Cricetulus griseus: one gene and its partners. The protein of the gene in region 3 interacts with the protein of the main gene of each other region in a biochemical or structural test. Links are inferred from orthologs where the notes say so. Each region holds a gene or a part of one and is shown on either strand. Other genes may lie near its edges. The genes, in order: Ube2c, Pttg1, Anapc11, Ube2k and Ube2s.

Region 1 (5,648 bases), on a different chromosome or scaffold from region 3:
TGCCCAAGAGAAACACTAAGAATACTAGTTTCTGAACTAGTTTCACATGTGGCTGTAGGGAAGGTCCCAGGACTGAGCACGGGCTAACAGTAGTTAACAGACCAGACCTGTCTCTTTCCACAGGCCTGTACAACCAGCTGCTTGCAGAGCTGACAACTTAGGCAAGGTTTGTCACCTCATGGAGATGGAGCAGGAACCATCTGTGGGAGACTTGGGTCCAGAGCTCAGTCTTTTCCGGAGCTTTGGCCTGCTGTAGGGCAACCTGAACACCTCCTCCCATTTAACATGTTAGAAAGTGGGTGTCTAGTGCTCCCTCTCTCTTACAGATTCCTGAGCTAAAGGGTCTGGTTTAACCTCATCTGTAACCCAACAGTCACTGTACATGCTGTATGTAACTCCTCACAAATGGACATTATTTCTGGTGCTGGAATTGAACTCACGACTTCACAGGTCTTAAACATGCTCTCTGCCAGGGATCTATACCTTTGGGGAAATACATGAAGAATGTATGCGGCATGATAAACTAAGACACAAGGTAGCATCCTAGTGAGTGACCACTGGGCCCCATTGTCTATCAGCTGCTTCCAACCCTGTAAGGAACAGGCCAATATCCAGATGTTAAGTTAGCCCCCCTCTTGTTCCGAGTACCTCTGGCTGAGGATAACTCTGAGACAGCAATTTATACAAAAATAATCAACTCTGAGGCAGCAATCTGTACAAAAACAATCAATGTGTATTTATTTAATATACATTGTAAGGGCTCAAATAGACTTAATTTAAAAAAACAAATAAAACAAAAATAACACCACAGCTTAGAAACCAAGGAAAGGACAGACCATCTAAGAAAAAAAAGACGACACAAAAGAGAGGCTGGACATCTTGGTCAAGGGTCTTCTTGACTGCAGACCTGCTTTGAATAGGTTTCCTGCAGGTACTTCTTAAATGCTGGAAGAGAGCAGCAGGTTTCAGGCGAGTGATGGGATAGATGGGGAGGCTGGCAGGGCATTCTCCCTGCAAAGTAGACCCCCCTCTCCCAGTTGCTCTCTAGTTGGCTCCTTTACAGACTTGTTCCCCGAGTCCAGGAAAGGAACAGGAGACAGGGTTTCTCTGTGTAGCCCTGACTGTCCTGGAGCTCTCTGCAGACCAGGCTGGCCTCGAACTGAACTCAGATCCACCTGCCTCTTCGTGTACCACCACCAGGATCAGAGAAACATTCTATCCAAAGATCCCTTTATCTGTTTGAGTATGGGATCAGCAGCAGGGCAGATGCAGACGGAGTCCAGTGCAGACCCCCAGAGTCCCTTTGGAGGCCAGAGAAGGACCTACCTGTGGGGTTTTTCCAGAGCTCAGCAGCATGTGTGTTCAAAGGGCTCTCGATGTTGGGTTCTGTGGATGGAGTGAGAATAGTCAGGGGGACAGATAGAGGCTGACTCGGGGCCGTGACCAACAGCCCTGGAGTGCAGGAGTGAGTGGTCTCTGGAGTTACCTCCTAGCAGACTCTGGATGGACAGCAGGATGGTCCTGACATCATACAGTGCGGACCACTTATCCTTGAGGATGTCCAGGCAGATGTTGCCCTGGGTGTCCACGTTGGGGTGGTAGCAGGGTGTGAGGAACTTGACGGTGGGTGCGTTGTAAGGGTAGCCACTGGGGAACTCTAGTGAGAGTTTATACCTCAGGTCTTCATATACCTGGCATTTGGGGAAATAAGGGCAGAGTTAAGTCCCCTGCTCACCCTCCCATCCCACGCCTCCAGCCCCACATTCATTCACTCCCCAAATAAGAGTCTGAATCCGGCCAGCAGACAATGTGTGAAGTTGGTCCTAGTACCTTCTTCCTATCAGGGGGTTATCAGTGACCTTTCGGTCAAAAGATTGAGACTTGGCATCCTGAGGGCCACCAGAATAGTTCAATTAGTATCTTAGTCAAGGTTGGCTCAGATCCAATCTCTGACTTAAATCCAGATCTGCAGCAAAGGGCAGCTGCTTGTGGCCCCCCTCCACTGCACCATGGTCTAGAGGAAAGAGCCCTTCCCATGGCACTCAAAGCAAATGGCCACAGGGCTCAGGCATGTGTGCAGGCCCAGGGAACTGAAGCCAGCCTAGCACTTGGAGATCACCTCCTCTGCCACACTCAAAGTGACACCCGCTCCCACAGCATACTCACTGTGCCGGCTGCTCCATGGATGGTCCCCACCCATTTGAACAGGTTGTCTGATTCAGGGAAGGCGGAAATCCCTTTGTCACCAGACATCTGGGGGGAGAAAACACCCAACTGCAGGATTCCAGAGTGCGCTTTCAGGCATAGCAAAGTCGATCACTGGGTGAGCCTGCCCGATATAGTCAGGTCCTAAACAGAGCAGCTAGAGCCAAATCACAGGTTGCTCACTAGGCTAGGAGGAAGGGTTGGTACAGGAAAGCACATGGTATTCAATTTGTTTGTTTGGAGCCTGTCCTGGAACTCCATCTGTAGACCAAGCTGGCCTTGAACTCAAAGATCTGCCTGCCTCTGTCTCCTGTGAGTGCTGGGATTAAAGGCGACCACAGCCCGGACTGAATTAAATGTTTAGTATGGCATTAGAACTTGTGGATTGACATTTGGGGTAATGCAGCAAAGGACCACCAGAAGAAGGAATTCCAAGGTCTGATGGGACTAGAAATTTCAAGAAGGGTGGGGATGGGTGAGGTTAGAGCTGGGGCCCAAAGGAAGATAGGGGTGAGCCCAGATAAGCCTCCTATGATGGCGAAGGTGGCTGCTGTAATCAAGTAAGGGTGGGTGTTCAAAGGATTGCCCACAAGAGAGTAAATTACACCCATCGGATTAGCAAGGAGCCTGAAGTAGGAAAGAAGGCTCCGGATAACTGGGTGGGGGATGGGATGGTGGGCCAATCGATCTTACCATGAGGGTCATCAGCTCTTGCTGTAGCCTGCAAAGAGAAGTAAGGGTCATTTGGGGGCATGGGTGCTGCCGAGGTGCTACATCACCTCCCACCCAACTATCCTGAGGAGCTGTCATGGAGGCCTCGTCCCTCCTTCAAAGGCAGGCTAAGCTGGGACACACTCGTCATGCACAGGAGGACCGGGTGAACCTCCTGCTGCATGTTGACCTCAGCGCTCCTAGGGCGTCTTCTGAGAGTCTACTGGCAGCGCCACCAGCCTTTCATGTCCTGCGTTTCTGGTGCCCCTCATGTGTCCCAAGTCTCACCGGCTCCTGGGGGTGAGGCTCCGGGGTGACCTCCGCACCACTCACCTCTTGCCCACAGGGCCCCGGGCTGCGCCCCCGCTGGGCTCGGCTCCCTTGCGAACGGCTGCGACGCTGGCGGCGGCTGGGTCGCGGTTTTGCGAGGCCATCCCGGGAGCGCTGGCACCGTAGCAGAAGTGCGGAGACGAAAGAGCAACTGCGGGGCTGCGGGCCGCCGCCCGCGTTTGAATCGCAACCCTCCCGCAGCGCCAGCCAATCACAGACTCGCTTGGGTTTGATCCAGCCAATGGGACGCCCCGGAGCGCTCTGCTTCTGCGCAACCGCTGGGCCACCCAGTTACGCGCTGCGATTGGACGGCGGGGGACTAACTCCAGGCAGCCGATTGGAGGAAAAGGCTGCCATTAACTAACGAACTGGTAGCGGATTGGTGGCCTTTGGACGACGCCAACCATTAAAGGGTCAAGGAATCGCCCACGTGCACCCCTCCCCCCGCGGGTTTTTTCGGGACTCGGACTCCTGTCGCTGTCCTGTAATTAGGCTGCGCAGCCAGGTATGAACTTGACTTCTTGATCCCCCCCTGGCCTTCACTTCCTAAGTGATGAGGTTATACGAAAGAGTGCACCGCATGTCCGGCAGTGATTGGACCTCTGTCCAAACCCTTGGGCCTTCAGGCACACACCCAGCAGGCATCATCTCTTCCGGAAAAGGGTGTCTAAGAGCTTGACATTTTTGTCTCCCTCAAGCTGGAAATCTTTTCCCCTCACCCTGTTAAGTCCCTTCTGTTTGGGTCCCAAGAACTTTTAAAAAGCCCAGGAAGGTAGGTGAACCTAAGGCTGCAAGTTGGAGCCGACTCCCTATTTATTAGAAAACGTGGGTTCAGGTGGTGCATGCCTGTAATCCCTTGGAAGGTGGAGACCTGCAGGTCAGGAATTGAAGGCCACCTCTAGGCTAACCTGGTCTATATGGGACTCAAGAAAACAAAAACATCTTTAATCCCAGCACTCTGGAGGCAGAGGCAGGTGGATCTCTGAGTTCGATGTCAGCCAGGATTACACACAGAGACCCTGTCCCAAACACCCCCCTCTTCCCAAATGTAATTCATATTACGGTTCTCCAGTAGGTTTGCTGTGCTACCTCTGTAAGTCAGGGTGTTAGCCTGTAACTTTGGGATAATAAAGTGCAAATCCATTTTTCCTTTGGTAGGTCATCAAACCCCCATGGGGTTTGCCATCACATTGTACAACACTCCTAAACTGGAACAAGGTCAGGGGAGACTGGCAAAGAACAGGTTTTGCCAGGTGGTAGTGGCTCACACCTTTCATCTCAGCACTTTGAGAGGCAGAGGCAGGCGGATCTCTATGAATTTGAGGCCAGCCTGATCTACAGAGCTAGCTCCAGGACAGCTAGGGCTGCTACACAGAGAAACCCTGTCTCCAAAAACAAACAACAACAAAAAACCCTCCAAATTTTTCCTAGTAAGATGGGGGTGGGCAGGTAGGTGGTCCTTTTCAGAGGTGCCTAGTACTTCAGCCCTTGTTCTATCAGCCCTAAGGCAGGCATCACAGCAGGCTCACCATTTGTGTTTATTACAAACTGTTTAATTGCTTCTTAGTCCAACAACTTTAAAAACACAGAACCACATGCCAGTCTGGGTGCTCTTCAGTGAGTCACTACAAACTAGCTCATGTACAGCTTAATGCTGCTAAGATCCAATTAGACCCAGTCCCCAGGATGGCCTCAGCCGGTCGGGGAAAGAGGGTCTTGGAGGCAGGCTGCCAAGTGTAGTAGCCAGAACACCTGGCTCAGGTCTGGGGTGGCGCTTCAGCAGCACGATGCTCATTTTCTGTCCGTAGTGTCTCCATATACTTCCGCATCTTTTCAACCATCCAGGGGGGAAGGACAAAGGATTTCAGCTCCTCCAACTTCAGGTCCAAGCATCCTCTGGGGGAGACATTGTAGGGATGTTAATGGGAGGGTGATGGCCTCATCCGTGTGCGTGCCTACTGAGGCAGACGGGAGTATAGGGAGGAGCCCCTTTGGTTTTACCTGTAATCATCACTGGCAGCCAAGTCTCGGATGTCTTCCTCAATGAGAAGGTAGGCCTGGAGGCAAGGGGGAGTGATTAAAGCCTCTGAGTCATTTCTCAGCAGTTCAGAAACACTCTTATTGTGTAAAGCCTGCTACTAGACAGACTCAGGATGAAGTTTACAGATTACCTGGCCAGAGTACAGAGGAAAGCATGGGGGATGGCCCCTTGAGAGTGTCTTTACTCAAACAGAAACTTTACAGGGGGAGGAGCAGATACCAGTGACTAAGGAAAAAAAGTTGCTCAGACTGTCCCTGAACGACACTGCCTCCTCAGCCTCCTGAGTAGCTGGATTTCAGGCATGGCTTTGGTGATTAATTTATTTATGGCTCTTACACACACACACCCCTTGATGTGGTTA
Region 2 (5,815 bases), about 75 Mb from region 3:
GGGTCTCTCTACACAGCCCTGGTTGGTCTCGAACTCAGAGATCTGCCTGCCTCTGCCTGGGATTAAAGGCGTGCACCACCAAGCCCAGCTACACTTGGCCCTTTCTGATGACATCAGAGGCGATATCAAATGGTACACCGTTTTGAGACATGGTCTCTTTATGTAGCCCTGGCTATCCTGGAGCTCACATAGCTGTGTAGACCAGGTTGGCCTTGAACTCACATAATGATGACCTTGAGCTTCTGATTTTCTTCAACATCTTTGCTCCCATTCTCCCCCTGACCGGAAGGTGATACCCTGGCAAGTGATTCCACCTGAACAAGTCTGTTTATTCAGATAGTCCCAGAGTCTGGAGCAATACATTACAGTCACATGACATTAGAGTCTAAGAGAATCTCAAGCCAAGGGCATTTCCACCATACAAAGACCTTACCTAGAGGATTGAAGGGGAAGAACTTTTCTATTTCTGGGTAGGCGTCATCAGAAGCAGGAACAGAGACTTGTTGTGTCTTAGGAGCCTTCTCAATGGTCTAGAAAAACCCAAGAGAATAAGCACCTGTGAGAATAGAAGTGAGGTTGGAGGGCCTCTTCAAATGATGATTTCACTTTAAAATTTGTCAATTCTGTGTTCTGATCCTTGGTTTTCAGGATTCAGTCAAAAGACAAGAAGAGAAGTGACTCCTGGAAGTTGTCCACCGACCTTGAAATGCATGCCATCACATGAGCAGGCCCTGCGCTACACAGATACAAAAGCTAAGGAGCTGGAGAGATGGGTGACTCAGTGGTTAAGAGCATTTAATCCTCCTACAGAGGATCCAGGTTCAGTTCCCAGCACCCACAGGGTGGCTCAAGCTATCTGTAACTCCAGCTCAAAGGAATCAATGTTCCTTTATCTCCTCCTCAGGCACATGGTACACTCATATACCACACAGGCAAACATCCACACATACAAACTAAGTATTTTTTTTAAGTTAAGTTAATCAACTCGACTGTTCAAACCTAACAGTAGAGAAGATAGGCTTGAGGCACCCCAGAATAGTAGCCAATCCTGGGAGTCATTTTTACCTTATAAAAGTATGATTTTTCTGCCACTGTTACCTTAATCATTTGCCTGGCTAATATTAAGAAGTTTATGTTCCCTTAAATATATGGGCTTAAGCAGCAGCAAAACATAAAACATCTGAAGAATACCAGGCTGACAATAGCAGTAGGCCAAAACAGAAACCTGGGTGCTCTGGATCTTATCTCATACATTTGTGTGTGCCAGACTTGGAGGTGGGGCTGTAGCTCAGGCTGGCCTCCAACCAGCCCATCCTCCAGCTTCAGCTTCCCAAGTGTTAGGATTGCAGGTGTCTATCAAACCCAGCTGAGTACTTCACACACCTGCTGGTGGCTTCTAACCAGCTGCTTCCTGAAACTTGTTAAGGAGAGCTGAGGCATTAGTTACAATCTCAAGGGTGCTGAGCAACCAGGAGCAGTACACAGTGTGATTCTCCTCTGCTCGTTTGTTTATGGACCGCTATTTATCTCCTACTTGGAAGAAAGCCAGGTAGAAGACCTAGAAGTCCATTTTTAAGCATCAGAAGTACTACAGCGGGGCTTGCGATGGCTCAATGGTTAAGAGCACCTGCTGCTTTTCCAAAGGAGCTGGATTCAGTTCCTAGCACCCATGTAAGGCAGCTCACAACTAACTGCCTGTACTTCCAGTTCCAAAGCACCCAATGCCCTCTTCTGGTGTCCTCGGGTGCCCACACACATGCACATTAATGCACATACGAAATAATAATTTTTTTTTTTTAGGTGCTAAAGCATGAACACACCCCCCATCTTCCTATCCCGAACTCACCTTTTTCACAGTCAAAGTTGGTTGCTTCTGTTTGAGGGGTCTATTGATCTTCACTGGCTTTTCTGTAACCCTGTTGACAGTTCCCAAAGCTTTTCTGCTGGCTTTAGGCAAGACTGGAGCATTGAACACTTTGCCAACTTGTGGCGCTGAGATCTGCAATTTCCCATCTGAGGCTTTGACTATTGAGAAAAAGTATAATCCTGAGAATAAATAAAGTCTGCCAAACCTGACTGCCTGAGTTCAATCCCCAGCCCCCACAAAGTGTAAGGAGAACTGACTCCCACAGGCACACCATGGAACATGTGTGAATGCCCCCACACATATACAAATATGTAAGTAAATATGGTGTTCTTAAAGATTAGGCCATATAAACACCTCAACTTGACCCAGTTCTCACTCACAAACCCATGCTTTGTTTTTGGCATTTTAGCACACTGTTAAATAACCTCAGTAAGACAGTAAGATGAAGCCGGGCAGTGGTGGCACACGCCTTTGATCCCATCACTCGGGAGGCAGGCAGATCTCTCTGTGAGTTCAGGGCCAGCCTGGTCTACAGACTGAGTTCCAGGACAGGCTCCAAAGCTACATAGAGAAACCTTGACAGAAACAATAATCTGACAACCAGGCATGGTGGCACACACCTTTAATCCCAGAACTCAGGAGACAGAGGCAGGTGGATCTGTGAGTTCAAGCCCAGCCTGGTCTACAAATCAAGTACCAGGACAGCCAGGATTGTTACTGAGAAACCCTGTCTTGGGGGGGAAAAAAAAAGACAATAATCATGAAGCCAGGCATGTGTCTTTAATTCTAGCACTTGAGGAGGCAGAGGACAAGTGGATCTCTGAGTTCAAGGCCAGCCTGATCTACATAGCAAGTTTCAATCCAGTTAAAGCTACATGGGGGTGGGGGTTTCTGCTTCAACAAATAGATTAAGCATAGAGCCTGGGGACTTGATTAGTATGTAGAGTGCTTGCCTAGCATTTGAGAAGCCCCGAGTTCAATCCACAGCATTGCATAAACCAGGCATGGTGACCATGCCTATAATCACTGCACTGGGCAGGTGGGGGCAGAAGGCTCAGAAGTTCAAGATCTCTCTAGGTTATAAAGGGAAGTAGAGGCCAGTCTGAACTACATGACACCTTTTCTAAAGTTAAAAAGATAATAAGCATGAAAATATATGAAACCTGACTCTAATCAACCACAAAGTACACTAAATGCTATGGTCTCTAGACCACAACCATCATCCACTCCCAACACCTGTATATTTGAAGCCAGCCAATACTTACCACCAGACGCCAGCTTCAACCCATCCTTGGATGCCAAACGGCTGCCTGGTTCTTCATTATCCTTATCAATAAAGATCAGCGTAGCCATCCTGGATTACTCTAGAGGAGAGACCTATTGGGGAAGGCATGAAGAGCTAAGCGGCAACGGAGACCAAAGTCTACCCAGGACACATGTGCACAAAAAAATAAGAATTAAACTAAATCTTAAACCTTCAATTTAAGAACCTTAAAACCTTCAGAGTCAGAAATACTAAACTCCTAAAGAGAAGGCAAGTGAAGTTGGCACCCATCAAAACTGTCTCCCGGCTGTAACCGCAGCGCTAGGGAGGAGAAGGCACGAGGTTCGGATATTCAGGGTTGGTCTCAAGAACATAACAAGTTCGAGACCAGCCGGGGCTGCTTGAGACCTTGAAGAGGGAGGCAGGGGAGAAAAAAATTTAAATTAAAACAGCGTCGCCGCGGGTCAAGCACGTCAAGAGCGCCCAGGGACTCGGGGCCGAGTGAGGTTCAGATCCCGACCCTGCTTCGGTCTCCAGTCTGCCCCTAGCCACCCGGAGCTCACGCACAACACCCTCACACAGCAACTAAACTCACCCAAGACTGCGCCACCAACGACACCGCACTCCGCGGTTTAAAACACAACTCGCGCTTCAATTGGACCATGCGAGAGGAGGCGGGGCCTAGAGTCTGACAACCAATGAGACCAACCGAAGTTTTTAGTTACCGCCCCCCTCCAGCGTCTCTCTCTCTCTCTCCCAGAAATTAAAAAACTAGGGTCATACATTGCTCAAAACTCCTGATGGACTTTTTGTTATCCACAGTGTGGACCTGTGAGGAAGCATTGGTCCAATAACAAAAACGTCGTTTCGCTACTTTAAACTTGTAAGACTTTTTTTTTTTTTTTTTTTTTTTTTTTTATAACAGGGTTTCATGTGACCCAGTCTGGGTGATGGGTTTCTCTGTGCAACAGCCCGAGCTGTCCTGGAACTAGTTTAGCTCTGTAGACCAAAGTCAGTGTTAGCTCACACCTTTAATCCCAGAACTGAGGAGGCAGAGGTGGGTGGATCTCTGTGAGTTTGAGGTCAGCCTGGTCTACAGAACAAGTTCCATGACAGCCAGAGCTACACAGGGAAACCCTGTCTTGAACAACAACAACAACAACAAAAAAAAAAAAAAAAAAAAAAAAAAAAAAAATGGTGCTGATAAAATTTGAGGAATGTACCTTTATTTTGAAAAGTTTTCTCAATGTTTCAGAGAGAGGTTTGTAACACTCTGAAATGCAGGACTCCCTTTTATTAGCTAAGGACTTACACCTTTACTGTCCTTCCTCTGCCCTAATCCTGTTATTCCCTTAATCTGCTTTCTCCTTGCATCTCCTTCTAAATGCTGCTTCTTCATATTAAATCACTAGCACACAAAAGTTTTGGTTTCTAAAAGAAATCTGCATAAATTCTCACAGCTTCCACATGGATATTCTCTAATTCCTTGAGAGGTTTTTCTCCCTTTCTCACCAACAGGAAACATGGTTATGCCCAGGTCCCACTGCAAGTAAATTACATAACCACAGTGTCTTTAAAGGGCCATTTGTTTTCTTAGTGATGATGTCCCTAGCTGAGCCCTGTGATTCCCACCTGTTACTGGGGAGTAATATACCCTTTTGGTTGGTAAACTACCCTCGTGTAGAATGCTGAGTCCTTAGCTAATACAAGTTTCTTCTAATCCAGCTTTGCAAAAAACACTCACCAGCTATGACCTCTACCTTCTTGGTATCTCTAGAATCTTCTTGAGAACTCAGACCTGGGGGACAATTACTCCTTCTTGTCCAGAAAGTTCTGTAATTCCTCTGGAAAAGCATTCTGGCTTTGGCCTGGCTAATTAAATCTCCACAATCTATAACTTTGGGCTCTTCGACTGAGGCAGGGATGTTAGCTATATTCATCTATATTTGAAGAGGAATTCATGTGGGGAATCGTAAATAACCACAAGACAGCACAAAGAAATTTTTCCAGGGAATAGCTCAGAGAGCTTGCTGTTCCTGCAGAGGACCTGTGGTTTAGGGATCTGACGCCAATGATGTGAAAACTCATACATCTAAAATAAAACAATGATTTAAAAAGAAAGAAAGAAATTCCACTAAAATCTATTTTCCAGTAATTTGTTTAATGTTTTCTGTCTTATGGGGGACTATTTAAATTTGTTTGTTTGAGATAGGATCTTATTATGTCACTGGCCAGGAATTCAAAGATCTGCCTATCTCTGCTGGGATTAAAGGCGTGGGCCATTATGCCTACCTTCTTGGTTTTTTTCAGTAAACATTTTTGCTAAAATTCTAGAAGGAACAAGGGTTCAACCCTGCGGGGGGCACAAAGCTGCACTGCCACCATTCTCCCTGCAGGGTGCACAACGAACTACTTGCACAGACCGCGGTCTTGTTTGTTTAAAAAAAAAAAATCTCCAAGCACTTGAGAGTGCGCATGTGTCGTCCTTCCGGAAGTTATCGCTGGGCTGCCGGACGAAGACAGGGAACCCGGAAGTAAACATTACCGGATTACTTCGTTCGCGGCGGCTGCTTTGGCGTGGCCTGCGGCCGGACTGGGTAAGTTAGGGTTCCGAGACTCAGCAGACGAACTGGGAGCCTCGGGGGAGCGGGCATTTCCTGCAGTGAGTCCTCGTGGTGACGACC
Region 3 (5,673 bases):
AAAGCCCCTTGGGACCTGAAACAGATTTATTACAGGCCTTGCTAACTTAATTTTCACAGGAGTTTAATCTGTGAGAAATCTGGTGCTTACAGAATCTATCAAGAAAACACACTGGGCCTATCAGCGCTGGGCACATTAAAGTCAACTCCCTCTCACTTGAACCAGCTATGAGCTGGACTAAGTCTCCCACTCTACACGGCCAACAGGCCTGAGTTTACCTCACACATATGAGACACTAAGTGCCTAGACATGCTTTCTGGTCATCCCTTTTGTCACAGACCTAGATGGGGTAATCCAGACTGTGTTCTGCAGCCCCATGTGTGGGTCATTTATGCCCAGGTAAGACTGGGTAGCTCTGGGGACAATGGAGTCACCTTCAATCTACAGATTTAACTTCCACCCTTTGCCTGAAGGTGGGAGTGGCTGGAAAACCTCCTGAAAGTTTTTACAAGTTAACAGTCTAATGCTACAGAAGCTACAAACAAGCCATTGTCCTCTGACTCCTATACTCTTTGTGGCTCTGTTAAATAAAGATTCCTTCTAACCAGGCAGTGGTAGCACACGCCTTTAGTCTCAAAAATAAAATAAAATAAAATAAAATAAAATGGGCTGGGAATACAGCTCAGTGGTAGAGAACTTGCACAGCACATGCTAGGCCCGGTGCTCAATACCCAGTACCATCAAATGAGAAATTAATTGAATGATGAAGAGTATTCCCTCCCTTTAGCCTTCACACTCTTGAGAGTTCCTTCTTATTTTTCCTTAATAAACCTACATTTGTGACAGGCAGTGGTAGCACACACCTTTAATCCCAGCACTTGGAAGCAAAGGCAGGTGGCCCTCTGTGAGTTGAGTCCAGTCTGGTCTACAGAGATACTTCCAGGACAGCCAAAGCTACATAAAGAAACCCTGTCTCAAAAAACAACAGCAATTGGGGCTGGAGAGATGGCTCAGAGGTTACACTGGCTGCTCTTCCAGAGGTCCTGAGTTCAATTCCCAGCACCCACATGGTGGCTCACAACCATCCAAAATGAGATCTGATGCCCTCTTCTGGTGTGCAGATATACATGGAAGCAGAATGTTGTATACATAATAAATAAATAAAATCTTTAAAAAATTGTTTAAAAACAACAACAAAAAACAACAAAAATCTACAAGTGTTCTGTTGAAAATAAAAACTAGAACTGTGTGTTCAGTTACTAATCACAAATGTTATAAATAAAAACTTAAACCAGAAAAATCAATGAATTCCTAAGAAACTCACACTTGCTGGGCAGTGGTGGCACAGGACTCTAAGAAACCCTGTCTTAAAAATCAAAAAAGAAAAGGAAAAGAGACTCTTTAATTACATCAAGATAATTATCTTGATTACATCAAGATAATTAACTCTTAGCCAATAAACCAGGTTAGGTGATCTGAGCTGTACACGCCTTTAATCCCAGCACTCTGGATGCAGACGCAGGCGGATCTCTTTTATCTTGAGACCAGACTGATCTACATAGTGAGTTTCAAGCTAGCCAGGGTTACATACTGAAATCCTGTCTCAAAAAAAAAAAAAAAAAAAAAAAAGACAAATGACAAATATGAGGCCAGTGGCAGTGGGTCCAAGAGCTAATCTAATACACAAACTGACTCAGTGGAGCCCATTCTCTATAGAGAGATAGCTTGCCCAGCCTAGACACAGGGGTGTGGGGGTGGAGAGGTGCCTTGGTCCTGCCTCAAGAAGATGATAGGGGAGACTTAGTAGACTTCCTAGGGGAGGATTTACCCTCTCCAAGGAGCAGATGGGGGGGGAGTGGGAGGAGCAGAAGGGGGAACTAGGATTCGAATGTAAAATATAAATTAATAAAAAAAGTCAAGTCACAGCTCTTTAATTGCATCAAGATGATTAACTCTGGGCTGATAAACCAGGCTGGGAGATCACATTGGTTCATACCTTTAATCCCAGCACTCTGGATGCAGAGGCAGGCATCTCTGTGACCTTTGATCTACATAATGAGTTTCAATCTAGCCAGGGTTACATACTGAGAACCTGTCTCTAAATAAATAAATAAATAAATAAATAAATAAAGACCTTTTGCATTCTGAAAAACATTAAATTCATAAAGCTCAAATGCCTGGAAAACAAGAATAGTAAGAAGTATTTAGAACAGAGAGCTGAGAGTCCTGAGATGTCAAGAATGGCTCAAACCCCAATAACAAGACATTTGGGGAAAGATGCTGGAACGAGGATGCTAGAGCAGCTTTGTGAGACACGGGGCTTAAGTTGCTCATAGTTTATAAGCATCAACTTAAAGTATGGAAACTGCTGTCTGAACTTCAGTGTGCTGGGCAGGGGTATCCTCATTTGTTCTGCTTTGCTTGGAGAAAATTCAAACTGGAAGTAGCATTTTGAGGAATTAAGAGAATGACCAATCATCACAATGTATCCCAGGCAAGCTTCAAACTCAAGCCTCCTCTTGCCTCTGTCTGTGCCACCATGCCTTGGCAAAAACAAAAGTGTTGTTTTTGTTTATTTGCTTTTCTTTGTTTTTACAGACAGACTCTCATTATGTAGCCTCCAACTCAGAGGCTACCTGTTTCTGCTCCCAAATGCTGGTATTACAGATGTTTGCCACCATGCTGGATAGGGTCTTTATACAAAAGTGAGTTTGAAGAATTCGTTTATTTTCTGTCAACTTTCCTTCAGGAAATGGAAAGTAAAACCCACGGTTTTATTTTCTGGTTTTCTTAGTTTTTCGAGACAGGGTTTCTCAGCGTAGCCCTAGCTGTCCTGGAATCTCGGAGATCCTCCTGCCTCTGCCTCCCTAGTGCTGGGAAACCCAAGGTTTTCAAGGCTGGTGGAGCTGGCCGAAGTTCTGAGAGCACGGGGGAGGGGGGGCACTTACAGTCTGGACAGCAGCCATTAAACGCCATCCTGCAGATGCCACAGTTCTCATCGTTGGCTACCCAGAGCCACGTGGCCACACCATTCCAGCACTTAATCTTCACCTTCATGGCAGCAGAGCGTGCGACCTGAGGGAAGAGGGTTTCCTGGCTAAAGTTACTCTGTATTACTACCACAGACGGCACTTGAGCATTTAAGGCGGGGAGCTGCGTGCTAGGCGCCTCCAGGGAGCCAGGCTCCCAAGTTGTTTTGCTATGTTGAAGGTCGTTTTTAGAGCTGTGCACCCAGGTAGCGGGCCAGGCTGGCTCACGCCTTTAACCTCAGCGCCGCGGAGGCAGATCCGCCCAAAACCAAAGGAGGAAAACAAAAACAAAAACCACTGCATCCATGAAAAACACCTCGGTTTTCACTCACAACCCGCGCGTGACAAGCCATCAGCTTGCTAAATTTAAATAAAATTAAATTTTAAAAAACCATCCCTTCGAGCCCACAAACCCCAAATCGGATCCACAGATCGGCCCCCCGCCTCGCAGCTCAGGGACTCGGCGGGCGGACGGACCGAACTCGATCCGGCGCCTTCCGGCCTGCGCAGGGCGGATCCCAGGCCAGGCCCCGCCCACGCCTCGCCCACTCCACCTAATCTCGCGGCGCCCCGCCCTTCCGTTGCAGGAGCGCGGGAGGTATAAAAACGACCGCGCCGCGCCGGGCGCCACACACTCGCGCGGGCCGTCCTCCTGAGCGCAGCGCAGGCGCCCTCCGCTCTCCGCGCGCGCCGAGGCCAATCAGGGGCAGCTTCGGGGGCCGCGACGCCGGAAGACCAGGGGAAGCTCCGGAAGTGACCTAGCGACGTGCTGACGCGCGGGCTCGATCTGAGGCCCGATTCCGCGCCCGCCATGGCCGACAAAATGGACATGTCTTTGGACGATATTATCAAGCTGAACCGGAGCCAGCGAGGCGGCCGCGGCGGAGGCAGGGGCCGTGGCAGGGCCGGCGCCCAGGGCGGCCGCGGCGGGGCGGTGCAGGCGGCCGCGCGGGTGAACCGAGGCGGCGGGCCTCTGAGGAACCGGCCCGCCATCTCTCGCGGCGCCGCCGCCGGCGGCAGGAACCGGCCGGCTCCTTACAGCAGGGTGAGCACGGGAGGCGCGGCGCCGGCGGGGCGGGCTCCCGGCGCCCTGAGGCGGGCGGGCGGGCGTCCTGCGGGAACCGCGGGAACGGAACGGAACGGAGGGTGGGCGGGGGCGACGCCGCGCGGTGAGCGAGGCCCCGGTCACAGGCCGGGATCTTCCGGGACGCTTTGTCCGGTCCGGTCCCGCCTCGTGGCGGCGGAGCGGCGGGCGTGGGGGTCGTCTCCTCCGGGCTCTCGGGCCGCCGTGAGAGAGAGAGTGTGAGTGCCGGGGAGGGATCGGGGCGCCCGAGACGAGGTCGCTCACGAACCTCTCTTTCCCTTCAGCCGAAACAACTTCCAGACAAATGGCAGCACGATCTGTTCGACAGCGGCTTCGGGGGTGGAGCCGGCGTGGAGACCGGCGGAAAACTGTTGGTGTCAAACCTTGACTTTGGAGTGTCAGACGCAGATATTCAGGTAAGAGACCAGAGCCGTCCGCATGCTTATCCCCACACACAGAATCCCTTCTGATCAGAGCCTGTGCTCCCCCAGGCTGCCCAAGGGCCAGCCGCTGCCCTCACAAAAAGTAGTATCCCCTGGGGTTTGAATGTGACTGATAGGTCAGGCTGCTTGGAAGGCAGCCTGGTGTGCCCCCAGAGTGGCTCTTGTCTGCTAACGTCACGAGCACCTGCCGTCTGCAAGGCTTACAGTTTCTAACGGGCACAGACTGGCCACAAGTCCGGTCCCTGTGTGACCGAGGGTGCTAGCTTCTCAGGCTTTGTGCCTGTAGTAGTAAGCTTATGAGAAGGAAAACTCTCCCCACCCCCACATGTCTGAAGGCACAGGGGTGAATGGTGGCTGTGTGTCTTCCAGACTGACCTTTCCTGGGTCTTACCAGGGGCATTGTTCTCATACCTTTGGTTGAAGTCTTTTTTTCTGTCTGTCTGTCTGTCTGTCTGTCTGTCTCTCTCTCCCCCCCCCCCCATCTCTATCCTCTCTCCCTCTCTCTGTCTTTCTTCTGGCCCTCAAATGCAATTAGAGTTAACAGAGCAGGTTTTTAGGAGTTAGTTTTGGGTCATGGGTGCTGGGCCTTTCTGGGTTCCCTTTCTCAGAGCCCCGCCATTTGGCCTTGTCAGGGAGCATAGAGCAAGGCCAGTGAGCACTCACAGTGTCTCCACACTTTTTTTAAGGTGGTTTCTGGCATCCACTGGAAACCGCTTTTGGTGAACTTCACTTCCCGCTGTGTGCCTGCGGCCGAAGTAGCCCCACACTCTGGGTTCCCTCTCCAACTCCCAGCCTGCCTGAGGTCAGGGCAGTCTCCATGGCGCATTTGACTTCAGACTTTGCAGCAGGCTTGAGTAGGAGGAGAGGGAAAGGTGAGCCAGAATCTGCCTTTGGGGGAGGGGCTTGGGTCACAGCTCCCCAAATCAGTGGGCCCTTTGAGCTGTCTGCTCTATGAACAGCTTCCCTTGGTTTTTCTCTTGGCCTTTGCTATCTGATGAAACAGCCATTAGTCAGGTTGTGAGTGCCCTTGCTGAGAGAGAGGTAGTTTCTGTGTGCTTCCTTCACCTGCATCATGGTACAGTCACACACGTCCCAACGTGGACAGGAACCCAGGTGCTCAAAGTGACACCCTTCCCTCACCTCTTGATTGCCTCTGCCCCGCCCCTTTTCTGGGTGG
Region 4 (4,929 bases), on a different chromosome or scaffold from region 3:
AGAGGTCCTGAGTTCAATTCCCAGCAACCACATGGTGGCTCACAACCATCCGTTATGAGATCTGGTGCCCTCTTCCGGTGTGCACATATACATGGAAGCAGAATATTGTACACATAATAAATAAAATCTTAAAAAAAAAGTCAGCTTTGATGTTACATCTAAATCTGTAGGAAAATCAGTGCTAAATTTCTGAAGACAAGATGTCTGCTACCAAATTATTAATGAATAGCACATATGTGCAAACTGCGAAAAGCCCTAATTCCAAGCACTTTAAGTCCATCAATGGAACTAAGGAAGCACGCATAAAAAAGAATAAGCAGATCTTCAAGCAGAAGGAAGAGAGAAGGGAAGCCTGAAGAGGTGTCTCTTCCCAGCACCAATATTAGGTGGCCAAAATCAAGGATATATTACCTTATTTAGACCTCAACAGGTACTGGCACTCAAATGCTCATACCCAAAGACACACATATATATATAATTTTAAAAATAAGTCCTTTTGTTTTGTTCTTAAAGAACTTAAGGATAAAGAAATTTGGGCCGGGAAGATAGTTCAGCAGCTAAGGACACCGCATAAGCCTGACAAGTTGAATTTGATAACTAAAAGCCTGGCAGTGGTGGCATACACCTTTAATCCCAACACTCAGGAGTCAGAAATAGGTGGATCTGTGACTTTGAGGCCAGCCTGATCTACAAAGCAAGTTCCAGGACAATTTGAGCTACAAAGAGAAACCCTATCTCAAAGGAAAAAAACAAATACAAGAACAGTTTGAAGCCTGAAACTTAGGTAACATGGCTGCTGTGAGGTACCTATGCCCACGCTTAGACATCAAGCAAGTATGTTCGCAAGCACACATACACAGGGACAGTTCTAAAAAATATAAGGATATTCGATAAGAAATGTTTCCCAAAGGAGAAACAAGGAAAACAGTATAAAAATTAAAATGATTACAATCCCAAAAATTCATGAATTCGAATAACATTATGAGTTAAAACATGTTCAATAGCTTAAATCATGGAAAACCTCTGAAATGTAAGTGTTAGGTCATGAGTGAATAACAGTTGATTTGGGTTGTTAGTTTTGAAACAGGGTCTTACTTTTTAACTCTGTCTGGTCTGGAATTTACTTAGTACAGCAGGCTGACCATGAACTCACAGAGGTCCACCTGTGTCTGCCTGCCAATGGCTGGGATTAGAGTACACCTCCACACAGGCAGGATCTGGGGTTCAGAGGTCAAGCACGGTGCTTTGATCATCCAGGGAGTGCATACAATGGAAGGGGAACTACAGTAGGAGCCAATAGCTCTCATTAAAAGTGATTAACAGGCCGGGCACTGGTGGCGCACGCCTTTAGTACCAGCACTCAGGAGGCAGAGGCAGGGAGATCTCTGAGTTCGAGGCCAGCCTGGTCTCCAGAGCGAGTGCCAGGATAGGCTTCAAAGCTACACAGAGAAACCCTGTCTCGAAAAGGAAGGAAAAAAAAAAAAAAAAAGTGAACAACAATGGCCAAAAAGGCAGAGGCAAGTGGATCTTTGTATTTTCAAGAACAGCCAGCCAGGAGGACTGTTACACAGATAAACCATGTCTTAGAGAGACAGAGACAGGGAATCAACTTTAAAAATAGGGAGAGAAGAGGAAAGTATTTCATAAATTGAGAGATGTTTAACAATAAAAATGCTCAGTAAATCAGAATACTTTAAAGTAGAGGTTGGTGAACTAAAACATAGATTTTAACAATTTAAACCTTTCAAACCACAGACAGTGTGACTGGATATCAAAATAAACACATGGTTATGACTCTGTTCCTATAAAATGAGATTGCCCAAACCAGCCAGTGTGAATGTACCTTACCTTACCCTTAGAGGCATTAAAGAAAAGGAAAAAGTTCTCCATTCAACACCCATGAAAACCATTGCAATGCCACTACCATCAGCTCCACTTCTGTGGTGGGAGGTTATTATGATCACCACCAGGAAGAAGCCAGTAAGGTATAGAAAGAGGGTTACAAAAGTGCACAAATGATAAAGTGCATGTGGTAAATGCTAACTGTAGAATCTACACAGGTGCTCACTATGGAATTCAATCATACATAAGGGAAAAGCATCTGTCATGTATCCAATGAAACCATTTCCAAATTTAGTACCAATATAGAATGTTCATATGCTGACATCAAATATTAAAATCCATATACACAGGTCTAAGAAAGTCTTTCAAAAACTTCCTTCTTACCTGATTTGCTACTACTGCATCTTGGGGGTCATCTGGTTCTGCAGCTGCCAACAGTGCTTGCAATGACAATAATACCGTGCGCAGAGTCATTGCTGCTGCCCTAAATTTCAAAATAGGAAAACATACCACTTAAAGGGGGTGCTGAACGACCTAAACAAAGTGTATGTTTTCTGAATTTAAATAAGAGTTAACTAATGTGTGTATAATTGCCATTTTTTTCTTACAATGAGCCTATTTCTTCGATAATTTAAATCACTGTATTCTTATCTGACTTCACTTTTTCTTTTTGTTACTCTTACCTATCTTGTAAGCTTTATCTAATGGTTCCATTTATAATTCATTCTCTTCTTAAACAGAATATTTTAGGTTTTAAGTGTATGAGTGTTTTGTCTCCATGTATGTGTGTGCACCTGAGTGCCTGATGCCCAAGAAGGTCAGAAGAGGGTTCTGGATCCCCTAGAACTCCGAGTTACAGATATCATAAACTGCTGTTTGGGTGCTAGGAACCAAAGCCAAGTCCTCTGCAGGAACGCATGCTCTTACCCACTAAGCAGCCTCTCCAGTCCCTTACCCATATTTCTTAGTAAAGAGATAATTAAAGTTATTAATATTAACATGGGGATTTTGAAAGTTTTATTGTTTTGAATTGTAAGAATATTCATTTATGTGCATATAAGTACAGGTGCCTACAGAAGCCAGAAGCAGCTGATCCCCTCCAGCTGGAACTACACACAATTGTATGTCATCCAACATGGGGATTGGAAATTCAACTTGGGTCCTTCAAAGAGCAGTAATGCCTTTAACCACTGACCCACCTCTCCAGCCACCTCTTTTAATAACACGCTAAATAAAACAAGCAAATAAAGTACCCTTTAGAAGTTCCAAAATAAGTCTGTTATATTCCAAAATAGGACAAATTTTTGTTTAAAGTATCATCACTTGGGGTTGGAGAGATGGTTCACAGTTATGCATGTGTACTGCTTTGGCAGAGAACCTAAGTTTAGGTCCCTACATAAAGGGTTGTGAGTTACACTGAGACGTGTCTCAGACAACAGCAGCAAACACCAAAAAACAGGCTGACCTGCTAAACTAGCATTTAAGACACAGAGTTCTTTTAAAAGCTTTGAAAACACAGCTGGATTGCCGGACATTAGTGGCGCACGCCTTTAGTCCTAGCACTCAGGAGGCAGAGGCCAGCCTGGTCTCCAGAGCCAAGTGCCAGGATAGACTCCAAAGATACACAGAGAAACCCTGTCTCGAAAACAAAACAAAACAAAACAACCACAAAGGTGGGTAGTACTAGCCTTTACTCTAAAGATCACTGTAGGCAGAGGCAGGCAAGAGTTCAAGACCAGCTTGGCCCACAGTTTTAGCACCTCAGCTACACAGATGCTGTCCTAAAACAAAACCTTTAAAAACAGCTACATAGTTCTATATCCTAGCTGACAAAACAAACCATGTTTTCTTTTTCCTCCCCCCACCTAGACCTAGGTGTTCAATTTCCTAAGAGCATCAATGTTAATTTTCCACCAAGAGCTGTAATACTAAATTTTAGCACAGAAGTTGATAAGATGTCTAAGTGGATAAAAACACTCATGACACCAGCCTCAAGACTGAAGTTCATCCCCAGAACTCAGTTGAAAGTTTGATGAGAGACCAGAATCCATACTGATATCCTATGACCTTCACACAGAAACCATACCCATATAATAAGCTCTGAAATAAAGATTAAGTCACATATAACCACACTTAGCTCTTAAATATTTATATCTGTCTTTCCATTACCACAAAAACACGGAAAGAGTGTATCACTCTGATTTTAATTTTTGAGGAATTTCAGTGGCTGGAGAGATGGTTCGGTGATTAAGGGCCTTGCTGCTCATTAGAAGACACAAGTACAGTTCCCAGACTCCATGGCAGCTTCCATCTGTCTTTAATTACAGGTATAGAGGTTTCAACATCTATGGCCTCACACATACATACAACCAAAAGGCCAAATTCATTTAAAAAAAAAAAAAAAAAAAAGAGGCCACTAAGACCTCTCTCCCGTAACTAAATTACTTCTTTTTAAAAATTATGTTTGGGGCTAGAAAAATAGCTCAGCTGTTAAGAGCAGTGACTGCTCTTCCAGAGGACTCAGGTTCAGTTCCCAGCACCCACATGGCAGTCAAGACTGTCACTCCAGTTCAAGGGGATCTGACACCCATGGCAAAACACCAATATACTTAAAATAAAAAAGTATATTTATAAAAAAAAAAACCAAAAAACTGAAGGCAGGCAGATCTCTGTGAGTTTGAAGCCTGGTCTTCAAAGAGAGTTCCAGGACAGTCTCTAAACTTACAGAGAAACCCTGTCTCAAAAAACAACAAAAAAAAAAAGAAGGAAGGAAGGAGGAGGAAGGAGGAAGGAGAAAGGAGAAGAAGAAGAAGAAGAAGAAGAAGAAGAAGAAGAAGAAGAAGAAGAAGAAGAAGAAGAAGAAGAAGGAAGAAGAAGAAGGAGAAGGAGAAGGAAGAAGAAGAAACATTTGAACCAGGAAGGAGTGGTACACACCTTTAATCACAGAAGAAAAAAGAAATGAGCAGAAAATTTGTTTAGTGGGGTGGTGGTGGTGATGGCAATCCATCTTTAATCTCAGCACTCAAAAGGCAGAGACAAGAGGTTCTCTGAGTCCAAGACCACCTGGTCTATAGAGAGAATTCTAGG
Region 5 (5,663 bases), on a different chromosome or scaffold from region 3:
TGGGGACCCCCAGACCCCCTCCACTTCAGTGGGGACACCCCAGGCCCCCTCCACTTCAGTGGGGACACCCCAGGCCCCCTCCACTTCAGTGGGGACCCCCCAGACCCCTCCACCTTCAGTGGGGACACCCCAGGCCCCCTCCACCTTCAGTGGGGACACCCCAGGCCCCTTCAGTCCACCTTCTCCACCTTCAGTGGGCCCCCTCCACCTTCAGTGGGGACCCCCCAGACCCCCTCCCAGTCCACCTTCAGTGGGGACCCCCCAGACCCCCTCCACCCCCCAGACCCCTCCACCTTCAGTGGGGACCCCCCCCCCCTCCACCTTCAGTGGGACCCCCTCCACCCCCCCAGACCCCCTCCACGTTCAGTGGGGACCCCCCAGACCCCCTCCACCTTCAGTGGGGACCCCCCCAGGCCCCCTCCACGTTCAGTGGGGACACCCCAGGCCCCCTCCACGTTCAGTGGGGACCCCCCCAGACCCCTCCACCTTCAGTGGGGACACCCCAGGCCCCCTCCACCTTCAGTGGGGACACCCCAGGCCCCCTCCACCTTCAGTGGGGACACCCCAGGCCCCCTCCATGTTCAGTGGGGATCCCCCAGACCCCCTGGGCCACACCCAGGGGCGGCCACGCCCTGGCTCTCAGCACCCTGCTCCCCTCAACCGCCCGTGGAGGCCAAGGTCAGGCTCCAGCGCCCTCTCCTGCTTGCGGGCGGCCCCCAAGGCCTGCCCCGGGGCCCAGGCAACCGAGTGACTGTCCCCAAACTGCCACACGGGGGGGGGGGCCTGGCCAAGGGCCAAAGGCAAAGCCACGCCCTGAACAACAGGACGGTGGCACTTCCCTCCCTGCTCCCCCCTGGCTGGCATCCCGGGATTCACAGACACAAGCCACACCCCAGGGGCGCGGGAAGTGCGAGCCTTCACAGGCTTGCTCACACACAACATGGGGGCCGCGCCACAAAATGGCGCCGCGCGGACAGCCACGCGCCCGCTTCCGGCGGCCACCCACCTCACCCCCTTCCCTCCACCGCACCCCGGCCGGGACGCCAGCCAACGCGCGCGCGACATTTGCATAGCGAGAAGACACGGAGGGATTTCATTGGCCAGCGGCGGAGTCCATCACGCTAAGCTCCCTTCCCGTTGGGAGCTTTCCAGTCCTGCCCCGCCCCCCAAGAGGTGGGGGGAAGGGAGAGAGAAAAAAAAAAAAATCACCACCGGCCCTCCCTATTGGTCAGTGGCCCGTCCGTCACTCGTTTTAAAACCCCAGCTAAGTCCCGCCTCCCCTCGCCCCGCCCCGTCCTCTCTGGCGAGCCGACCGTTAGCCGCGTGCGCGACTTCCTCCAGGCCGGAGTGCGCGCGCGCGCACGCGCGGGCGCGAGCGCGAGCGCGAGAAAGCGCGCGCACGCTCGGGGCGGGGGCGGGGAGGGTGGGGGAACCGAGGGGCGGAGCGGCGTCTCATTCAAACGGCCCAATCAGCGGCCTCGTCGCCGCCGAGGGGGCGGGGCCGGCGCCCCCCGGTTCTCCTCCGGGCTCTGGGCTTGCAGCCTCTTGCTTCTCCCCCGCGGGGGGAATGGCCTCCTCGGGCGACGTGAGCCCTCATTGGACGGCTCGGCGCCACACGCCCCGGGCTGGAACTTCTCCCGCGCGCCCTCCCGACCCCATTCTGAGAGGAACGTGCGTGCGCGTTGACGTCCGCCCGCCGGGGCGCGCGGGGCGGGGCGGGCGGGGCTGGGGGGGGGACGGCCGGGGGCGGGGCCGGGGAGCGGGGGGGGCGGGCCCGCGAGCGGCTAAAAAACGCCGCGCCGGGCGCGCGGCCGGCTCAGTGCGGCCGGGCAGGCGTAACGTTGCGAGCTCCTCTGTAGCGGTTGTCGGAGTTGAGTCCGGGGGTGGGGGGAGCGGAGCGGGGCCTCGGGGGGCCTCGCTAGGGCCACAGCGGCCGGCAGTTGGGCCCCCCGCCCCGGCCGGCGGTTCGAGGAGTGCAGGCAAAGGGGGGCCGGGGGGACCCGCCCCCGGTCGGCCGAAGTCATGGTGAGCGGACGCGGGAGGCCCGGCTCGCCCGGCCCGGCCTGGCGGGGCGGTTGGGGACCTGGGCAGAGATGGGCGGCTGCGTCCCGTCCGGTCCGGTCCTGGGGGTGCTCCCTGCCGGATTCTGGGTGCTCTCCGAGGCGGCAGGGCGGGGAGTCGGCGCTGAGGCCTCCTTCCTGCGGGCGCTGCAGGAATGCGAGCGGGCGGGCGGCGGGCGGGCCTCGGAGCCTTGGGGAGCGCTGGGCCCCTTGCGGGCCCGCCCCTCGATGCTGTCGGGAGCCAGACATCCCGCCGCCATTTCTTCGTCCAGCGTTGTTTTTTTTTTTTTTTTTATTAATTTTTTTTCTTTTTCCTCTCTGGCGTGGTGTTGCCAGCTAAGTAGGGAACGGGCACAAGCTAGGCCTCAGGCCCACCTGGCGCCACTAATGGACCCACGCGCGTCTCAACGATCGGTCTGTGCGAGGCTTTTTTCTTTTTCTTTTTTTTTTTTTTTTTTCCATTTTTGAGTACGTGAAGCCCATTTCCCAGGCAGCCTCCCGGATCCGTGGGCCCGCCAGCCTGGGCGGGGGCAACGGCCAGAAGCAGCAGCAGCAGCACCCTGCGGGAGGGCCTAGTTAGCCTGCGATGATTGATTGATTGGCTGATTGACTGATTGATTGATTGATTGACTGACTGACTGACAGCCTGGGACCTGCAAGGTTACGATTCTGCCGTCCGCCGGATTTTTTTTTTTTTTTTAAATCCCAGACATTTCGGGCTGCTCATTTCTCCCTTTTCGCCCTTGCCCAGAACTCCAACGTAGAGAATCTGCCTCCGCACATCATCCGCCTCGTGTACAAGGAGGTGACAACGCTGACGGCCGACCCTCCGGATGGCATCAAAGTCTTCCCCAATGAGGAGGATCTCACGGACCTGCAAGTCACCATCGAGGGCCCAGGTGGGCGTGTGCGTGTGCGTGGGCGCCAAAGGCAGTGGCCACTTCTTTTCTGTCGTGTGACTGGAACAAACAGGATTCAAGGCTATCTCTCTGGTGGTGGCTGGTGACAAAGTGTGGGTAGGTCAGTCGCAGCGTTGTGCCCGTGAGTATCCGGCACATCGCAGATAACAACAAAAATATGGAGACGTCCCTGGTCACTGAGCGTGGAATGGAGCGTCTGCCTTGGCTTGGGCTAAGGCTGTCAAGTGTGACTTTGCGGGGCCCTGAGGATGCATAGGAATTAGAGATAGAAAGTGCCCCGGGTGATACAGATGATCTGAAACAGCTATTCAGCTGCCAGGTGTCTGGGCTCTGGAAGCATTGCAGGGCAAACAAGACTCAGCAATGTGAGGGAAACGGTTGTGTGAGATAAGATGTCACTTTTCATCTGAGTTCCTACAAAGTCAGGGTGTTTGAAGTGTGTGGTCCATAGTGCTGGGGTGTGGAGGGCATCTGCCCAGCTACTGTTGAGTAAGTGTAGAGCGTCAGTGATTACCATTTTCCACCCAAGTAAGGAGGTAAATGACAACACATCCCATGAGGATCTGGAAAGGCCTCGGAAATGGTTTGCAAGAAAAGTTGGTGGGTTGGGTCCTTTTGTCTTGAAGAGCTGGCATGTGCCTGAGACACTCACTTGGAAAAGAAAATGGATATCCAGATGTGTGGGCTGTATAATACAGTCAAGGTATAAAGGGGTGGTGCCTGTAGTACCTGGGAGACTGTTCTTTGTTGCCCTAATTTCCTCAGGCAGAGCCAAGGAAACTTGGGTGTTGAGATGTTGAAGGATGCTAGGAATCCTAACCTAGTTCCCTCCTCTGTTCCAGAGGGGACCCCCTATGCTGGAGGTCTGTTCCGGATGAAGCTCCTCCTGGGCAAAGACTTCCCTGCCTCCCCACCCAAGGGCTATTTCCTGACGAAGATCTTCCACCCAAATGTGGGTGCCAATGGTGAGATCTGTGTCAACGTGCTCAAGAGAGACTGGACGGCTGAGCTGGGCATCCGACATGTGCTGCTGGTGAGTTCAAGCCTTTTTGGAAAGTAGTGGAAGGGTTGCCCTGTGGCACCAAGTGCTGTCATGCAGTGTGGGTTTGTGTGATAGGGTGGTTTCATGGAAGGTAGTAGTGTGTGGGTTAGAGGCTTTTTGTTTATGTGTCATAGATTTCACCAGTAACCCAAACTACCCTTGGACTTGTGATCCTCCAAGCATATGGGTGAATAAGAAACTCCCCCAGAAGCTGGGCTTACAAGATTATGCCCACCCTACTCAACTAAGTAGAATGGGGTTTGTTGTGGTATGTTGTTGGGGGGTGTTCTAGGGTCTTTTTGTATGGTTTTTGTTTTGTTCTTTAACCTTGCTGGTGCAGCCATCACCACTATCTAATTCAGAATTGTTTTCCTGAGGTAGTGTTTTTAGCTGGGGTTGATTACACTGCCTGGGACGACCTTTTGTAATGTCAGGAGATAGCTTGGTTGTCAGTACCGCTGCTGGCATGTTGTGTGTGGGTCAGGAGACACTGATTTAGCATGTGTTGTGTATAGGGCTGTTCCACAGTTCCAGTCAGTCGGGGTCGGGATGGATACCTGGCCTAGGCCAGAGCTCCAAGGTCTCTAAAGGCCACTTAAAGTGGTTAGGTGGCCTGGTGCCTCCTTACCCCTGCCATTCCAGTGAGTCTCTGGGGCTGATGGTAATGAAGATAGAGAATTGGGGTTTCCTTTAGGGCACCTGGAAAGGATTAAGTTCCAAGGTAAACAACCCCATGTCAATTGAGCTTGGTCTGTCTCAGTGCTGGAATTGTTAGCTCTGGCTATGGGGTCTGCTTCTCAGCCTGTTAGGATAGGAAGCTGTGTCAAGGATGGCCAGGCCTCCAGTTTGGATGTGTAGTGGTAAGATCTGAGGGGGAGATCAATCCTGCATCCCTTTTCAACATCAGTAACGTCTACTAACTCTTGGGTGTGTCACAGAAGCACCTGTTAGCTATCACTAACTCGGGACTAACATTTATTTATGGAGCCTTCTGAACTAACATTTAGATAGACTGAACTGGATTAAATAGACACAAAATTCTTAAGGCCTGTGGTCAGCCTGGTGTTTTTTTCCCTCTTGGGTGTAATCTGTTCCTATGGCTCTGAACTTGGCAGCTTGGCCTTCCTGGTAAAGCCAGTGACCAACCACTATGGAAAACCAAATGAGTTCTCCAATCCTAGATGCCCTTAGTCCCAGTTACTACCTCTGAACTCATGCTCACCTGTAGAGGCAAGGTCAAAGCTACATTAGCTACCAGAAAATTGTCTGGGGCTGACAATGGTCTCCTGACGGAAGGGCCTCTGGCAACATCAGGCTGTATTTGCCAAGGCAGTGGTCCCTTGAAATGTTTGTAGCAACAGGAAAACAGCCTGTGGTGCTGACATGCATAAGAATGCTAGTAGGCTGGTTCTGGTCTTGAGAGAGATGATTTGTGGAGGCCATAAGTGTGGACAGCACCCCCTGACACTGGGCCCTTTCCCCACAGACCATCAAGTGCCTGCTGATCCACCCTAACCCAGAGTCTGCGCTCAATGAGGAGGCAGGCCGCCTGCTTTTGGAGAACTATGAAGAGTATGCTGCCCGGGCCCGTCTGCTCACAGAGATCCATGGGGGTGCTGGTGGCTCCAGCAGCGGGAGGGC

The links.
Region 1: the proteins of Anapc11 (region 3) and Ube2c form a complex in vitro, tested with the Homo sapiens proteins (66 studies listed by BioGRID). The link is inferred for Cricetulus griseus from reciprocal best matches to the Homo sapiens genes ANAPC11 and UBE2C.
Region 2: of the proteins of Anapc11 (region 3) and Pttg1, one has a biochemical effect on the other in vitro, tested with the Homo sapiens proteins (3 studies listed by BioGRID). The link is inferred for Cricetulus griseus from reciprocal best matches to the Homo sapiens genes ANAPC11 and PTTG1.
Region 4: the proteins of Anapc11 (region 3) and Ube2k form a complex in vitro, tested with the Homo sapiens proteins (3 studies listed by BioGRID). The link is inferred for Cricetulus griseus from reciprocal best matches to the Homo sapiens genes ANAPC11 and UBE2K.
Region 5: the proteins of Anapc11 (region 3) and Ube2s form a complex in vitro, tested with the Homo sapiens proteins (31 studies listed by BioGRID). The link is inferred for Cricetulus griseus from reciprocal best matches to the Homo sapiens genes ANAPC11 and UBE2S.

Annotation. Positions count from the first base shown.
Region 1 is NC_048599.1:14,655,165-14,660,812, forward strand, and holds Ube2c (ubiquitin-conjugating enzyme E2 C), read right to left. Parts: upstream 3,418-5,648; 5' UTR 3,351-3,417; coding exon 3,250-3,350; intron 2,927-3,249; coding exon 2,899-2,926; intron 2,254-2,898; coding exon 2,167-2,253; intron 1,692-2,166; coding exon 1,487-1,691; intron 1,387-1,486; coding exon 1,327-1,386; intron 946-1,326; coding exon 884-945; 3' UTR 711-883; downstream 1-710. Other genes in the region: Dnttip1 (deoxynucleotidyltransferase terminal-interacting protein 1), read right to left, coding at 5,004-5,142, 5,248-5,303. UniProt on the Homo sapiens protein: Accepts ubiquitin from the E1 complex and catalyzes its covalent attachment to other proteins. In vitro catalyzes 'Lys-11'- and 'Lys-48'-linked polyubiquitination.
Region 2 is NC_048600.1:58,114,565-58,120,379, forward strand, and holds the start of Pttg1 (securin), read right to left. Parts: upstream 3,795-5,815; 5' UTR 3,727-3,794; intron 3,715-3,726; exon of another isoform or gene 3,245-3,714; 5' UTR 3,221-3,244; coding exon 3,133-3,220; intron 2,026-3,132; coding exon 1,847-2,025; intron 531-1,846; coding exon 434-530; intron 1-433. UniProt on the Homo sapiens protein: Regulatory protein, which plays a central role in chromosome stability, in the p53/TP53 pathway, and DNA repair. Probably acts by blocking the action of key proteins.
Region 3 is NC_048600.1:133,091,882-133,097,554, reverse strand, and holds the start of Anapc11 (anaphase-promoting complex subunit 11), read right to left. Parts: upstream 3,661-5,673; 5' UTR 3,524-3,660; intron 3,511-3,523; exon of another isoform or gene 3,367-3,510; intron 3,016-3,366; 5' UTR 2,998-3,015; coding exon 2,889-2,997; intron 1-2,888. Other genes in the region: Alyref (THO complex subunit 4), read left to right, coding at 3,781-4,014, 4,338-4,469. UniProt on the Homo sapiens protein: Together with the cullin protein ANAPC2, constitutes the catalytic component of the anaphase promoting complex/cyclosome (APC/C), a cell cycle-regulated E3 ubiquitin ligase that controls progression through mitosis and the G1 phase of the cell cycle.
Region 4 is NW_023276807.1:132,627,222-132,632,150, reverse strand, and holds part of Ube2k (ubiquitin-conjugating enzyme E2 K), read right to left. Parts: intron 2,327-4,929; coding exon 2,227-2,326; intron 1-2,226. UniProt on the Homo sapiens protein: Accepts ubiquitin from the E1 complex and catalyzes its covalent attachment to other proteins. In vitro, in the presence or in the absence of BRCA1-BARD1 E3 ubiquitin-protein ligase complex, catalyzes the synthesis of 'Lys-48'-linked polyubiquitin chains.
Region 5 is NC_048602.1:23,448,685-23,454,347, reverse strand, and holds the start of Ube2s (ubiquitin-conjugating enzyme E2 S), read left to right. Parts: upstream 1-1,815; 5' UTR 1,816-2,022; coding exon 2,023-2,025; intron 2,026-2,811; coding exon 2,812-2,959; intron 2,960-3,822; coding exon 3,823-4,013; intron 4,014-5,508; coding exon 5,509-5,663. Other genes in the region: extensin-like, read left to right, coding at 1-1,125. UniProt on the Homo sapiens protein: Accepts ubiquitin from the E1 complex and catalyzes its covalent attachment to other proteins. Catalyzes 'Lys-11'-linked polyubiquitination.